Linked DNA regions of Stegostoma tigrinum. The protein of the gene in region 1 interacts with the protein of each later gene in a pairwise test. Links are inferred from orthologs where the notes say so. Each region holds a gene or a part of one and is shown on either strand. Other genes may lie near its edges.

What was found. The genes of interacting proteins can lie anywhere in the genome.
Region 2: the proteins of ccnh (region 1) and znrd2 interact in binary tests that used the Homo sapiens proteins (3 or more experiments, as listed by UniProt). The two-hybrid records come from large-scale screens. The link is inferred for Stegostoma tigrinum from reciprocal best matches to the Homo sapiens genes CCNH and ZNRD2.

What each region holds. Positions count from the first base shown.
Region 1 is NC_081356.1:95,563,918-95,571,285, reverse strand, and holds the start of ccnh (cyclin-H), read right to left. Parts: upstream 3,034-7,368; 5' UTR 2,984-3,033; intron 2,851-2,983; exon of another isoform or gene 2,704-2,850; intron 1-2,703. UniProt on the Homo sapiens protein: Regulates CDK7, the catalytic subunit of the CDK-activating kinase (CAK) enzymatic complex. CAK activates the cyclin-associated kinases CDK1, CDK2, CDK4 and CDK6 by threonine phosphorylation.
Region 2 is NC_081395.1:7,548,181-7,555,635, forward strand, and holds the start of znrd2 (protein ZNRD2), read right to left. Parts: upstream 3,051-7,455; 5' UTR 2,952-3,050; coding exon 2,936-2,951; intron 1-2,935. Other genes in the region: serine racemase-like, read left to right, coding at 4,222-4,389, 5,540-5,669, 6,201-6,304. UniProt on the Homo sapiens protein: Might play a role in mitosis. Antigenic molecule. Could be a centromere-associated protein. May induce anti-centromere antibodies.

The sequences.
Region 1 (7,368 bases):
TGGATGTCAGTTTGCTTGCTGAGCTGGAAGGTTAGTTTTCAGACGTTTCATCACCATTCTAGGTAACATCATCAGTGAGCCTCCGATGAAGCGCTGGTGTTAGGTCCTGCTTTCTATTGTATTTATTTATAAATAGAAAGCGGGACCTAACACTAGCGCTTCATCGAAAGCTCACTGATGATGTTACCTAGAATGGTGACGAAACATCTGAAAACTAACCTTCCAACTCAGCGAGCAAACTCACATCCATAAATACAAATTGCATTTATACGGTACATTTTATGTAATAAAACATCCTAAGGCAATTCACAGGAGCATCACAAAATTTGAGACCAAGCTAGATGATGCAGTGTCCTGACATATGGCCACAGACTTGACCAAATAAATAAATTTTAAGGGGCATCTTAAAAGACGATCACGAGAAGTGCTCATTCATTTAATGTCAGACTTTACATGGGGTTACAATCTGACAGGCAGTTAAAATAAAAAGTTACAACATATCATTTATAGATAGAAAGAAATGCAGATGCTGGAGTCAGAGGTAACACAGTATGGAACTGGAAGAACACAGCAAGCCAGGTAGCATCAGAGGTGCAGATAAGTTGACATTTTGGATCGGGACCCTTCTTCAGAAAGGGGGAGGGGGAAGAGTGTTCAGAAATAAATACAGAGAAGGGGTAGTCCTGGGAAAGGTAGGTGGGATGGCGATAGGTGGGTGCAGGTAGGAAATCGTCAGGATTGTTCAGTGGGGCGGATAGGTGGGAGAGAAGAGGGACAGGTTGTGTCAGGTCAAGGTGGCAGGGATGAGGCCAGGGATGGGGAGATTTTAAAACTGGTGAATTCTATGTTTAGGCCACTGGGCTGTAGGCTCCCAAGATGGAATATAAGGTGTTGCTCCTCCAGTTTGTGTGGTATCATTGTGGCACTGGAGGAGGCCCAGGATGGATGTGTCACCCAGCGAGTGGGAGGGGGAAGCTAAAATGGTTGACAACTAGAAGATGTTGTTGTTTGTCCCATGCAGAGAGCAGGCTCTCTACAAAACACAGTCTCCAAGTCTACACTTGGTCTCAGCAATGCAGAGGAGGCCACATTGGGAACTGCGGATACAGTAGACCAAGTTGACAGATGTGCAAGTGATCGCTGTCTGATATGAAAGGTTTGCCAGGTGCCTTACATGGGGGTTGGGGGGGGGGGGGAAAGGTGGAGGGGCAGGTGTAGCACTTCCTGCAGTTCTAGGCAAAGGTTCCAGGTTAGTAGGGTAAGTACAGACTGTAGAGCGGATGAGTGAGTCATGGAGACAGCCATCCCTACAAAAGGCAGATATTGTTCTGGAGGGAAATATCTCTTTGGTTGTGGGGTTGGGCTATAGGTGGCAGAAAATATGTTGGATGCAGAGATTGGTGGGGTGATATGAGAGGACAAGGGGGATTGTGTCTTTATTTTTGCTGGGGGGAGGGAATGTGAGGGCAGAGGTGCAGGAAATGCAAGAGATGTGGTTGAGGGCATTTACAATCACTTGGGGGGGGGGGGGGGAGAAGAGCAGATGTTAAGGTCCTTGGTGGGATGTCCATCTGGGCCTCCTCCATTGTGATACAATGGTACTACATGAAAACTAGAGGAGTAAAACATATATTCCACCTTGGGAGCCTACAGCGCTACGGAATTCACTAGTTTTAAAATCTCCCTAACCCCAACCTCATCCCATGTCCAAGCCACCCTCTCATCCCCACCTCCTTGACCTGACCCAACCTGTCCATCTTCTCTCCCACCTAGCCATCCCCCCCACCTAGCTGACCAATTCCCACTACTCCCTACTTGCACTCAAAAAAAAAAATCACCATCCCACCCACATTCCCCACCTCCACCCCTCCTCTATTACTGAGCTCCCTTCCCCCTCCCCATTTCTGAAGAAGGGTCCAGACCCAAAATGTCAACTTTACTGCTCCTCAGATGCTGCCTGGCCTGCTGTGTTCTTCCAGCTCCACAATGTTATCAACATATCACTTATGTCTACTTTATCAGGCCCACCACTAAAGTCTAAATAAACTCATGAATAAAATGTGGGAACTTGTGTTTGTCCTTCTGAAACTCTTTGTCTAATGGACCCTCAGCACTTCACAGCCAAATAAGAGCTCCTGAAGTAAAACAAAGAACTGTGGATGCTAGAAATCTTAATCATAAATAGAAAATTGTCACAAAACTCAGCAGGTCTGGCAGCATTTGTGGAAAAAAAGCAGAGTTGATGTTGCAAATCTAGTGACTTTTCATTAGACACCAGTTTGACCATGCTGTCATTAGACTCAAACATTAACTCTTGCTTTCTTCTCGCAGATACTCCCAGATTTGCTGAGCTTTCATCAGCAATTTCTGTTTTTTCAAAGTATTGCTGTAATCTTGAGAGAAAAAAACATCAGTAGACTTTCATACAGCAATCTTCCACAAACAGTGATGGAGGCCAATTTATTTTGGTGACGGTGACTAGGTTCCGAAGATAACTACACCACAAAGACTAGTCAATGCACCAATATCCGGTCTCCTGTCTTGTTCCAAGAAAGTGATAAGGGACCTTTTACATCCATCAGAAAAGGCAGATTTAATCTCAACTGACGATCTTATCCAAAAAACATTTTCAACTGGCCCTCTATTATAACGGCCAGACTGGATTCACGAGTACAAGACCAGCAGTGCGACTTGAAACCTCACCTTTAAACTGGGGATGAGGGAATATTAAATATGAACGGACTGCAGGAAGCGCAGACCACAAAGCATGAGAAAAGCACGAAGAGTTTGAATCGGTCTGCAGAAGTCAGGTGCCGACTGTAAATCAAGCCGAACCACCCCCACACGCTTTCCCATTATCTCTCTTACAACAGCAGGAGGAGTCGGGAGCTTCAACGGGACTAACGGAGCTGCTCACACATTCAAACCCCAGGGTAGAGATCACGCTGCACCAACACAGACAACCTCTAACGTTCAGACTCACCTGGCTCGAGACTGCTTTCGTTTCCGCTGTTCAGCACTAACCCCACCTCCTAGTGACGTTTCGCGAAGCGTTGGTCCAATGGGAAACGAGTCGGGTTGAGGGCCGTGATCTCGCGTGAGAACAGTCAGCCTGCGACGGTTTGGAACGTGGGAACCTAGCTGTCAGCCGCTTGGGTTGGGGAAGGAAGAGCAGAGGTTAAGTCGGAGAGTACGGTGTAATGTACTTTCCAGTCATAGCTACCGAGCTGTGTGACTATGGAAAACATGAACGGTTTGCAGCCTTTGAAGGGGTTGACCACAGCGTTCCCGCCCTTTGCCCTGGTAGAAATGGGCTCGGGAGCCAAGGTAAAAATCGGGGCAACAGCGAGGCCATGTTCTTTGGGAATTGGGCCAACCGATCCTTCATTCCCGTCACCGTCACGACAGATTACCTGAAAGTGCTGGGAATATGGCTCAGAGGGCCTAGGGCATGCACAAAATCTGAGAGGAGTGCATCGCCAAAGTGAAGCAGAAATTGGTCTTCTGGAAGCACTGTTCCTTGTCCGTTGCGGGGATAAACCTGGTTATCAGGTGTGAAGCACTCTGTCTCTGATGCTGTAAACGACACAGGTCTGGCCTGCCTCCCGTCACTGATGTTTCAATCACCTGAGTCATCTTCTATTTCATCTGGAAGCCTAAGATAGACTGGGCCTGCAGGAACTCCATGTATAAAACTCTGGATGGTGGTGGCAGAGAACGTTCCCACTGTTGCCCTCCTGATGGCCACCTTTGTGTTTTATCATACAGACCTTTCATCACCATGCTGGGTAACATCAGTGCGGCATCCAATGAAGCAAAACTGTTCTACTCCACTTGGAATTTATATGATCTGCTCTGTCGAGTTGTGTTGTGCCATTTCCTGTTCTTTTTTGCATGGGTTTGTACATGAGGTCTAATTCCACATGTTTGTTGATTGCATTATGGGTTGAAAACCAGTGCATATCTGTTGTTGGCTTGAGCCAGGATGGTCCCATTGTTCCAGTTAAATTGATGGCCACATTGTCTGAGTGCACTGTGATGAGGGAAAGTTTGTCATGTTGTTTTTCTGCCACCTGGTGTTCATGTATCCTGATGGCTAGTTTCCTTCCAGTCTGGCTATTGTAATGTTTGTTGCAGTCATTGGAAGGTATTTTTGTAAACTATGTTGGTCTTACACGTCATGGGTATGGGTTCTTTGGTCCTTGTGGGTGTTTGTTGTAGTGTAGCTGTGGATTTGTGTCCTGCCATGATTCCTAGTGGTCATAGGAGTCTCGTCAGTTCTGATATGTTCATGATATAGGATAGTGTGATGTGTCCTGTTGGTGTTGCCTATCTAGACGGCACCTGCGGATGAAATTGTTGGGATGTCTGTTATTAACAGATACCTTGTATAGGTGCTCTTCCTCCTTTCTACGTAGTTCTGGCATGTTGCAGTGTATTGCGGCTCATTGGAATAATGTCCTAACACAGCTTTGTTTGTGGACGTTGGGTGATTGCTGTGGAAATTGAGGATTTGGTCAATATGGGTTGCCTTCCTGTGTACTGTGAACTCCCCATTGGTCATTCGTTCTACCCTGACATCTTGGAATGGAAGTTGATTGTTGTCTTCATCTTCTTTTGTAAATTTGACCCTAGGACTCGGGACTTATTGCAGGGGCAGTCATGCAAAGACTGGAGTGCACAAACCTGCCCCTCATACAGCCAGAACTGTGGATCTGATACATGGATGATGCATCATCATTAAACCAAGTTAGAAGAAACGCACCATCTTATCAAAAACATTTTCACCAGGATCAAATTAATGAACAACGGATATCTCAATAATTTCATCCACAGGTGCCTACTAGATGGATGAAGCTAAATAACCAGCCAGCAAAGCGAGCAAGCCAACAACCTCATCCACAAGCCAAGCTACAAATCTTAACAAGAACATTAAACCTTTGTGTTTGGCTACATGAAGCTGTGCATAGACCCTTAGTACACAACACCAAGTGCCACTGCATACTGAGGTTTTACCTGTCCCTCAGTGTTTCAAGGGATGGGACTGGCCTTGCTGCCACATCCCCTATCACTTCTCCTTCATCGAGAAATTTGCAAAGCACCTTTGACTAGCAGTCCATCAGGAAGTGTACCCTGAGAGAAAAGAAGAGGGTGGATCCTGTTGCATGGTTCCCTAAGAAAATTGTCAAAGTCATTTGGCAGAATGCCTCATCACCCGAACTTCGGAAAAGCACCAAGACGTTGCTTGGCTTTTGCTGATAAGGGAAGTACCTGGGAGATCCTTTATGTCTGCACTACTGCCCGCTGCTCTTGAAGTGGCTGGTTCGGAGGTTTGAAGATGGAGGGTGGTGGTGATGGGGGGCTGCTGGTGAGGGGTATTGAGGTTGAGACTGTGACACATCTCCTTCTGGAATATGCCTCTGCCAAAGAAGTCTGGAGGAAGATGCATGGTTTGTGTCAAGGTTTGTCTTAAGCAGCTCCGTGACACGGGACTGTGCCCTGTACGGTCTGTTCACCAGGACACACACCGAGACAAACATTAGCTGGAGCTGGAGTACCATCAATTCAGTGAAAGACGCTCTTTGATTTGCTCAAGACTTGTTAGTCATTCAGAACAAGGAGCCAACCTCAACTCGGTGTTGCAGACTGGCACATTTCAAAGTCTGGGACTGCATGCTGAGGGACACACTAAAGTTTGGGGCAGCTGCCATCAAAGCACAGTGGGGAAGGACCACTGCTGAAGTCTTCCAGCTAAAAGTAAATGAGTGTCCTTCCAGTTATTGGACCCTCCTAGTGCCTCAAATATAGGTAAATATTAGTACTGTATGTGGAAGAAAGGTCTTTGGTTTTTTGGTTAGGTTTGTTTATTTACTGATGTGCAGCTATACAGAACCAAATTGCTTTTGTGACAGCGTATACATATGAGAGAATTTTTTTATGAATACAGTATATTTTTGAAAGAAAAAAAAATTAGTTTGCCCAAAACGTAATGGTCTTCCAGATTCCTTATGGAAACAGTTAAAGTTGCCAAACTGAAAGACTTCTTCAGCCCCCCTGCAGATGGATTGTAACATAGATATACCTGGTGGCCACTAGACGGATCTGTCTATTCAAGGATCAATTTCGTGTTTGCATCTTACACCTTCTCATTCAGATCCACTGATGTCAAGCCAATACTCTTCTCTGACCACTGCTTCCTGCTGGCTGACTGCCACCTATAGGATGCCCACAGGCCGGCAAGAAAATGTGGAAGCTGAATGTGAAAACTGTTAACTCCAGAAAATATTGAGGAGCTCAAAAGGGGTTACAGGTTGGAGAACCGTGAAGCCCCTGTCTAACTCTACACTGGACTGGGGGGGGAAACAGTCAAGGGGAACATCAAGACGTTCTTTATCCTCAAAGGTGTTCTGAAGGCCATTTCGGAGACATGGATAGAGCAGGGACAGGAATGGTTGTTGCAGGTTCCGGGATTTAGATGTTTCAGTAAGAGCAGAGAAGACGGTTAAAGAGGGGGAGGTGTGGCATTGTTGGTCAAGGACGGTATTACAGTTGCAGAAAAGATGTTTGGGGACTCGTCAACTGAGGTAGCACGGGCAAGGTTGGAAACAGAAAAGAAGAGATCACCCTGTTGGGAGTTTTCTATAGGCCTCCGAATAGTCCCAGATATGCACAGGAAAGGATAGCAAAGATGATTCTCGATAGGAGTGAGAGAGACAGGGTAGTTGTCATGGGGGACTTCAACTTTCCAAATATTGACTGGGAACACTATAGTTCGAGTGCTATATTTGGGTCAGTTTTTGCCCAGTGTGTGCAGGAGGGCTTCCTGACACAGTATATAGACAGGCCAACAAGGGGCGAAGCCACATTAGCTTTGGTACTGGGTAATGAGCCCGGCCAGGTGTTAGATTTGGAAGTAGGTGAGCACTTTGGTGATAGCGATCACAATTCTGTTATGTTTACTTTAGTGATGGAAAGGGATAGGTGTATACCACTGGGCAAGAGTTATAGCTGGGGGAAAGGCAATTACAATGAGATTAGGCAAGATTTAGGGAGCATAGGATGGGGAAGGAAACTGCAGGGGATGGGCACATTAGAAATGTGGAGCTTATTCAAGGAAAAGCTCTGTGTGTCCGAGATGAGTATGTACCTGTCAGGCAGGAAGGAAGCTGTAGAGCACGGGAGCCGTGGTTTACGGAGGGAGTGGAATCTCTGGTCAAGAGGAAGAAGAAGCTTATGTTAGGATGAGATGTGAAGGCTCAGTTAGGGCGCTTGAGGGTTACGAGTTAGCCAGGAAAGACCGAAAGAGAGAGCTCAGAAGAGCCAGGAGAAGACATGAGAAGTTGCTGGCTGATAGGATCAGGGTAAACC
Region 2 (7,455 bases), on another chromosome or scaffold:
TTATTCTCATCCCCCTCTCCTATCCCCCTCTCCTCTCTCTTTATTCTCATCCCCCTCTCCTGTCCCCCTCTCCTCTCTCTTTATTCTCATCCCCCTCTCCTGTCCCCCTCTCCTCTCTCTTTATTCTCATCCCCCTCTCCTGTCCCCCTCTCCTCTCTCTTTATTCTCATCCCCCTCTCCTGTCCCCCTCTCCTCTCTCTTTATTCTCATCCCCCTCTCCTCTCTCTTTATTCTCATCCCCCTCTCCTGTCCCCCTCTCCTCTCTCTTTATTCTCATCCCCCTCTCCTCTCTCTTTATTCTCATCCCCCTCTCCTCTCTCTTTATTCTCATCCCCCTCTCCTGTCCCCCTCTCCTCTCTCTTTATTCTCATCCCCCTCTCCTCTCTCTTTATTCTCATCCCCCTCTCCTCTCTCTTTATTCTCATCCCCCTCTCCTGTCCCCCTCTCCTCTCTCTTTATTCTCATCCCCCTCTCCTCTCTCTTTATTCTCATCCCCCTCTCCTCTCTCTTTATTCTCATCCCCCTCTCCTGTCCCCCTCTCCTCTCTCTTTATTCTCGTCCCCCTCTCCTGTCCCCCTCTCCTCTCTCTTTATTCTCGTCCCCCTCTCCTGTCCCCCTCTCCTCTCTCTTTATTCTCGTCCCCCTCTCCTGTCCCCCTCTCCTCTCTCTTTATTCTCGTCCCCCTCTCCTGTCCCCCTCTCCTCTCTCTTTATTCTCGTCCCCCTCTCCTCTCTCTTTATTCTCGTCCCCCTCTCCTCTCTCTTTATTCTCGTCCCCCTCTCCTGTCCCCCTCTCCTCTCTCTTTATTCTCGTCCCCCTCTCCTCTCTCTTTATTCTCGTCCCCCTCTCCTGTCCCCCTCTCCTCTCTCTTTATTCTCGTCCCCCTCTCCTCTCTCTTTATTCTCGTCCCCCTCTCCTGTCCCCCTCTCCTCTCTCTTTATTCTCGTCCCCCTCTCCTCTCTCTTTATTCTCGTCCCCCTCTCCTGTCCCCCTCTCCTCTCTCTTTATTCTCGTCCCCCTCTCCTCTCTCTTTATTCTCGTCCCCCTCTCCTGTCCCCCTCTCCTCTCTCTTTATTCTCGTCCCCCTCTCCTCTCTCTTTATTCTCATCCCCCTCTCCTGTCCCCCTCTCCTCTCTCTTTATTCTCATCCCCCTCTCCTGTCCCCCTCTCCTCTCTCTTTATTCTCATCCCCCTCTCCTGTCCCCCTCTCCTCTCTCTTTATTCTCATCCCCCTCTCCTGTCCCCCTCTCCTCTCTCTTTATTCTCATCCCCCTCTCCTGTCCCCCTCTCCTCTCTCTTTATTCTCATCCCCCTCTCCTGTCCCCCTCTCCTCTCTCTTTATTCTCATCCCCCTCTCCTGTCCCCCTCTCCTCTCTCTTTATTCTCATCCCCCTCTCCTGTCCCCCTCTCCTCTCTCTTTATTCTCATCCCCCTCTCCTGTCCCCCTCTCCTCTCTCTTTATTCTCATCCCCCTCTCCTGTCCCCCTCTCCTCTCTCTTTATTCTCATCCCCCTCTCCTGTCCCCCTCTCCTCTCTCTTTATTCTCATCCCCCTCTCCTGTCCCCCTCTCCTCTCTCTTTATTCTCATCCCCCTCTCCTGTCCCCCTCTCCTCTCTCTTTATTCTCATCCCCCTCTCCTGTCCCCCTCTCCTCTCTCTTTATTCTCATCCCCCTCTCCTGTCCCCCTCTCCTCTCTCTTTATTCTCATCCCCCTCTCCTGTCCCCCTCTCCTCTCTCTTTATTCTCATCCCCCTCTCCTGTCCCCCTCTCCTCTCTCTTTATTCTCATCCCCCTCTCCTGTCCCCCTCTCCTCTCTCTTTATTCTCATCCCCCTCTCCTGTCCCCCTCTCCTCTCTCTTTATTCTCATCCCCCTCTCCTGTCCCCCTCTCCTCTCTCTTTATTCTCATCCCCCTCTCCTGTCCCCCTCTCCTCTCTCTTTATTCTCATCCCCCTCTCCTGTCCCCCTCTCCTCTCTCTTTATTCTCATCCCCCTCTCCTGTCCCCCTCTCCTCTCTCTTTATTCTCATCCCCCTCTCCTGTCCCCCTCTCCTCTCTCTTTATTCTCATCCCCCTCTCCTGTCCCCCTCTCCTCTCTCTTTATTCTCATCCCCCTCTCCTGTCCCCCTCTCCTCTCTCTTTATTCTCATCCCCCTCTCCTCTCTCTTTATTCTCTTCCCCCTCTCCTCTCTCTTTATTCTCATCCCCCTCTCCTCTCTCTTTATTCTCATCCCCCTCTCTTATCCCCCTCTCCTCTCTCTTTATTCTCATCCCCCTCTCCTATCCCCCTCTCCTCTCTCTTTATTCTCATCCCCCTCTCCTATCCCCCTCTCCTCTCTCTTTATTCTCATCCCTCTCTCCTATCCCTCTCTCCGCTCTCTTTATTCTCATCCCTCTCTCCTATCCCCCTCTCCTCTCTCTTTATTCTCATCCCTCTCTCCTATCCCCCTCTCCTCTCTCTTTATTCTCATCCCTCTCTCCTATCCCTCTCTCCTCTCTCTTTATTCTCATCCCTCTCTCCTATCCCTCTCTCCTCTCTCTTTATTCTCATCCCTCTCTCCTATCCCTCTCTCCTCTCTCTTTATTCTCATCCCTCTCTCCTATCCCTCTCTCCTCTCTCTTTATTCTCATCCCCCTCTCCTATCCCTCTCTCCTCTCTCTTTATTCTCATCCCCCTCTCCTATCCCTCTCTCCTCTCTCTTTATTCTCATCCCTCTCTCCTTATTCTCATCCCTCTCTCCTATCCCTCTCCTCTCTCTTTATTCTCATCCCTCTCTCCTATCCCTCTCTCCTCTCTGTTTATTCTCATCCCCCTCTCTCCTCTCTCTTTATTCTCATCCCTCTCTCCTATTCCTATCCCTCTCCTCTCTCTTTATTCTCATCCCTCTCTTCTTTCTCTTTATTCTCATCCCTCTCTCCCTCCCCAGGGCCCATTACCACTGTTTAAGGCCATGCTGCTACTTCAGGCACCCTCAGCGTTGTCGGAAGTGACGTCTTCTTGAGGCTTGGCTTCAACTTAACCGCTAAAATGGGAGAATAGACTAGTCGGACACCCCTCTCCTCCTGCGGGATGGTGAGAATGGGATCGTCCGGGCGGGAGGCGGAGTCTGTGCGATCAAGGGGCGGGACCAGAGTTCGTAAGGGGGCGGGGTTAGAGTCGGGGCAGGAGCGGAGTCCGGACTCCGGGCGCTGACCTTCGGCGAGGGGGAGGGGGCCAGAATCATTGGTGTTCGGGGCGGGGTCGGATCCGCGAGGGGGCGGGATCAGACTCGGGCGTTGTCAAGCTCGGGGCGGGGCTCCTTCGTTTAGGGGGCGTGGTTAGTGCGGTAGGGAGGCGGGGATAACGGCGAAGGGCGGGGTCACAACGGGTAATGGGGGCGGGTGTCTTCTTGGTGCCGTTACCAGGGAGATGCCGAGGCCTAGTTGATCGTTTGAGGCCTGCCGTCAGGCCGCTCAGATGCTCTCTTTCTGACCCCGACCCTTTTCCAGGGCAAATACAATTGTGCTATTGCAACGGGACCTATGGTGCAGCGCATATGACTGCACCTCCACGGTCATTGTCAAAAAAAGAGGCAGCTCTTCGGGGCACCGTTAGCTCAGTTTCTCCCCCCTTCTGTACTCCCAATAGTTCTTTTAATCCCATATCCTCATCCCTATCCCCAGAGCCCTGATAGAAATAGGTCATTCTGCCCATCTTGTCTGTTCCTATCATCTCTGAAAGAGATATCTAGTCTCATTCCCGCTTTCCACCAGCTCTTGGTCTGTAGACCCTGTTGCTACAAGTGCACATCCAATTTTTTTCTCAGGAGCAGTAAGGATATTACTACCCTTTCAGGAATTGTGTTCCAGACCCCTTTGAGTGAAAACAGATACCCATCACATGCACCAAGCCCCTGCGCAGCAAAGGTTTCTGTTGCTTACTTTAAATCTATGCCTCACTTGTCATTTGACTTGTTCTGTCAAGGAAAGTTGGATTATCTAGAACCTTCAATTCTGTACATCTTGATTAGATCTTGTGTGTTCCGAAGAAATCAGACTCAACTATCTGATCTTGTCTCCCAGTTACAATATGCCATTCTGGTAAAGATCTTGCTCTGCATCCTTCCTTATTGCGATCACATCCTTCCTATAATGTGGCAATTGCCATTGCATTGTACTATCTGTGGTCTTAACTGCTGCTTTATACCATTCCTGTTGAAATTCTTTGCTAGTTGTAAGTAGCCATGGAGTCTCAGTACTGTGTCTCCCTGGCGAGTGTACAGAAGGCTCACATGGTCATCTGTGATCTTGTCCACCGGACGCCAGTCCTCACCAACTCCACCCTGGACAAGCGAGCTGATAGGAAGATCTTTCTCAAGTGTGAACTTTTCCAAAAAACTGGATCATTCAAGGTAAGATGCTTTTAAGAAATTGAAATGCCACCCTGGCATCAATATGTTGTTGATTCAGAAACAGGAGAGGGATAAAGAAATAGAATTGGATCTGGTCTTTGAAACACAAAGGAAGCACATAATCTCAGTGGACCCAAACCCCTTCCTAATTTATCCCACTGTACATGATCACAATTAGCCAAACCCCTTCTCATTCACCCCCACTCTACATAATCTTGATGGACTCGGGTCCCTTCCCTGTCACTTCCATTGTGGATAATTCTGTTGGAACCAAACCCCTTCCCATTTACTCCCACACAATTGGATTGCACACAATCCAAATCAACCAAATCACTGCCAATGCACTCCCATTTTATACATTCCAATTTATCAAACCCTTTCTGTTCCCTCCCATATTACATAATCCCAATTAACCAAACCGCTTTGCATTCACTCCCATTGTACTCAATACCAATTAATCAAACTTTTCCCATTCACTCCCATTGTATGCAATTCTGTTGGGTTAAATCTCTTTCTATTCATCCCAATGTACGCAATCCCAAGAGACCAAACTTTTTCCAATTTATTCCTGTTGTATAGAATCAGTTATCATAAAAATCCAGGCTATTTAACACTATATTATTCATGTTACTAGGCTGGGTCCTGGATATAATTTGAGCCAGTCAGTTTAACATAGCTAAGTGATACTGCACTCTGCTGGTAGAAGGTTAGGACTACTTTTCATATTAGCATAATGTGTTTTTATAGCAATCTTAACACAATAAAACATCCCCAGAAACTACAAGAGTAATTATCAGGGAATATTTCATAGCCGTCTGAAAGGAAGTCTCAAGGTGAGTGACCAAAAGCTTGATTAAGGAGGCAGATTGTAAGAAATACCTTAGGGAAGTGAAGTTTATGGTGGAAATTCCAGACCTTAAGTACCCAGGGAGCTGAAGGTGTGGCCCCAATGTTGACCCAAGGGACATTAGAGTTTCTTGTGGTGCCAGAATTGGAGGAATGCAGAGATCTTGGAGTGTTTTGGGGGCTGGAGGAGGTTACAGATATGGGCGGGGGGGTGGGGAAGGGGCAGACATTGGAATGTGAGGACAAAAAATTTGCATCGTTTGCTTTCCACCAGCGAGTTGATGAGATTTGTTATTCCCTTCAGATCCGAGGAGCCCTGAATGCAGTGTCCAGCCTCAGCGCGAGGAGGCAAAATGGCGAGGATGTTCGAGCTGTGGTGACACACAGCAGTGGTAATCATGGACAGGCACTGGCCCTAGCTGCTCAAATGCAAGGTGGGGACTGCAGGAAAGGCCAAATAAGACCTGCCCCTACCAGTACTGTACCCCAGTATTATACATTGACAGATCTGTCTGCACCAATACTAGACCCCAGAGTGATACAGAAACAGACCCTTCTTCATCATTCCAGTGTCCCAGGATTGTGTAGTGACAGACCACCGGTACTGTACCCCAGTATTATACAGTGACAGACCTGTGCCCACCAGTACTGTACCCCAGTGTTGTACAGTGACAGGCCTGTCCCTACCGTTAATGTACCCCAGTGTTATACAGTGACAGTCCTGTCCCTACCGTTAATGTACCCCTGTGTTATACAGCAACAGATTGCCTTACCTGAAGTCCCAGTGTTTCTCACAGTTGAAGTTAGTATTGAAATGGTGAGCCAGTGACGGGTTTGGTGAGGATAGAAAATGAGGCGGATCTTGGGTCATCCTGTCTGTTCCCCATTTGAAGAAGGTGCAATCAGGTTAGGGACACTGCTGTTGTTAAGCCCCGTGTAAGTGTGTGTGTTTTGAACTGTCTCAGGGATCCCCTCATATGTGGTTGTGCCCCGAAATGCCCCGGCGTGCAAAAAGGCTGCCATACTGGAGTATGGTGCGCAAATTGTGGAGTGTGAGCCCAGCGACCAGGTAAGGCTCAGTTGTGTGGACTGACTTGTGGCAGATGGAAGGAGGCAAAAGAAAGGGCAAGAGTATGTTGGGGTTTGAGAGAAAGGCCAGTCAGGCTAGAATCTTTATACGGCCTTTAATAAACAACTTGTTCCCAGGAAGTGGTGGTGAGTGTGTTGATATTGTAGAGAAATCTTTATATTTACTGCTGTTCCTAGTTGATCCTTGTTTCTTTGTGAACTGCTCTCTGAATCTGTTTCCTGTTTATGACAACTGGTCTCCCTGAGATGTACGAATACTTCCACTTCAGCCCTTCATTGGTTCAAAGATTGCTATATAGAGACAAGATGTTGGAATTCTTTAATTCTTTTTGAACAAAGAGCTCAAAATGCAAAGCCCTGTGAGTGAATGCACTTGTAGCATGTGTAAATGAATCACACTGGAAGATAAACATACATAGGTTTGAATAGGTGCATGAAGATAGCCAATCTGTATTACATTTTGTCTATTCATTCATGGATGTGAGTGTCACTCGATGGACTGGTATTTATTGCCAAGGGAGCAGTTAAGATTTAGATTAGATTAGATTCTCTACAGTGTGGAACAGGCCCTTTGGCCCAACAAGTCCACACCGCCCCTTGAAGCATCCCACCCAGACCCATTCCCCTATAACCGACACACCCCTGAACACTACGGGCAATTTAGCATGGCCGATCCACCTAGCCTGCACATCTTTGGACTGTGGGAGGAAACTGGAGGAAACCCACACAGACATGGGGAGAACGTGCAAACTCCGCACAGACAGTTACCTGAGGCTGAAATCAAATGCGGGTCCCTGGTGCTGTGAGGCTGCAGTGCCGCCCCATTTAACCATGTTGCTGTGGCTCTATAGTCAGACCAGGTAAAGTGACAAATTTCCTTCCCTGAAGGGCATTAGTGAACCAGATTTTTTTTTTCCTGACTATTGGCATGGTCCTCGTTAGACTCCCATTCCCAGATTATTGTTGAATTCAGATTCCACTGTCTGCCATGGCTGGATTCGACCCCAGGTCCCCAGAACATTATCCGCGTCTCTGGATTAATACTCTGTCAACAATGTCAGTAGGCCATCATCTAGCCATAATCCCCACAGCAGTGCCGCGAGCGGTCAGACTTGACTTACCTGGTTTGAA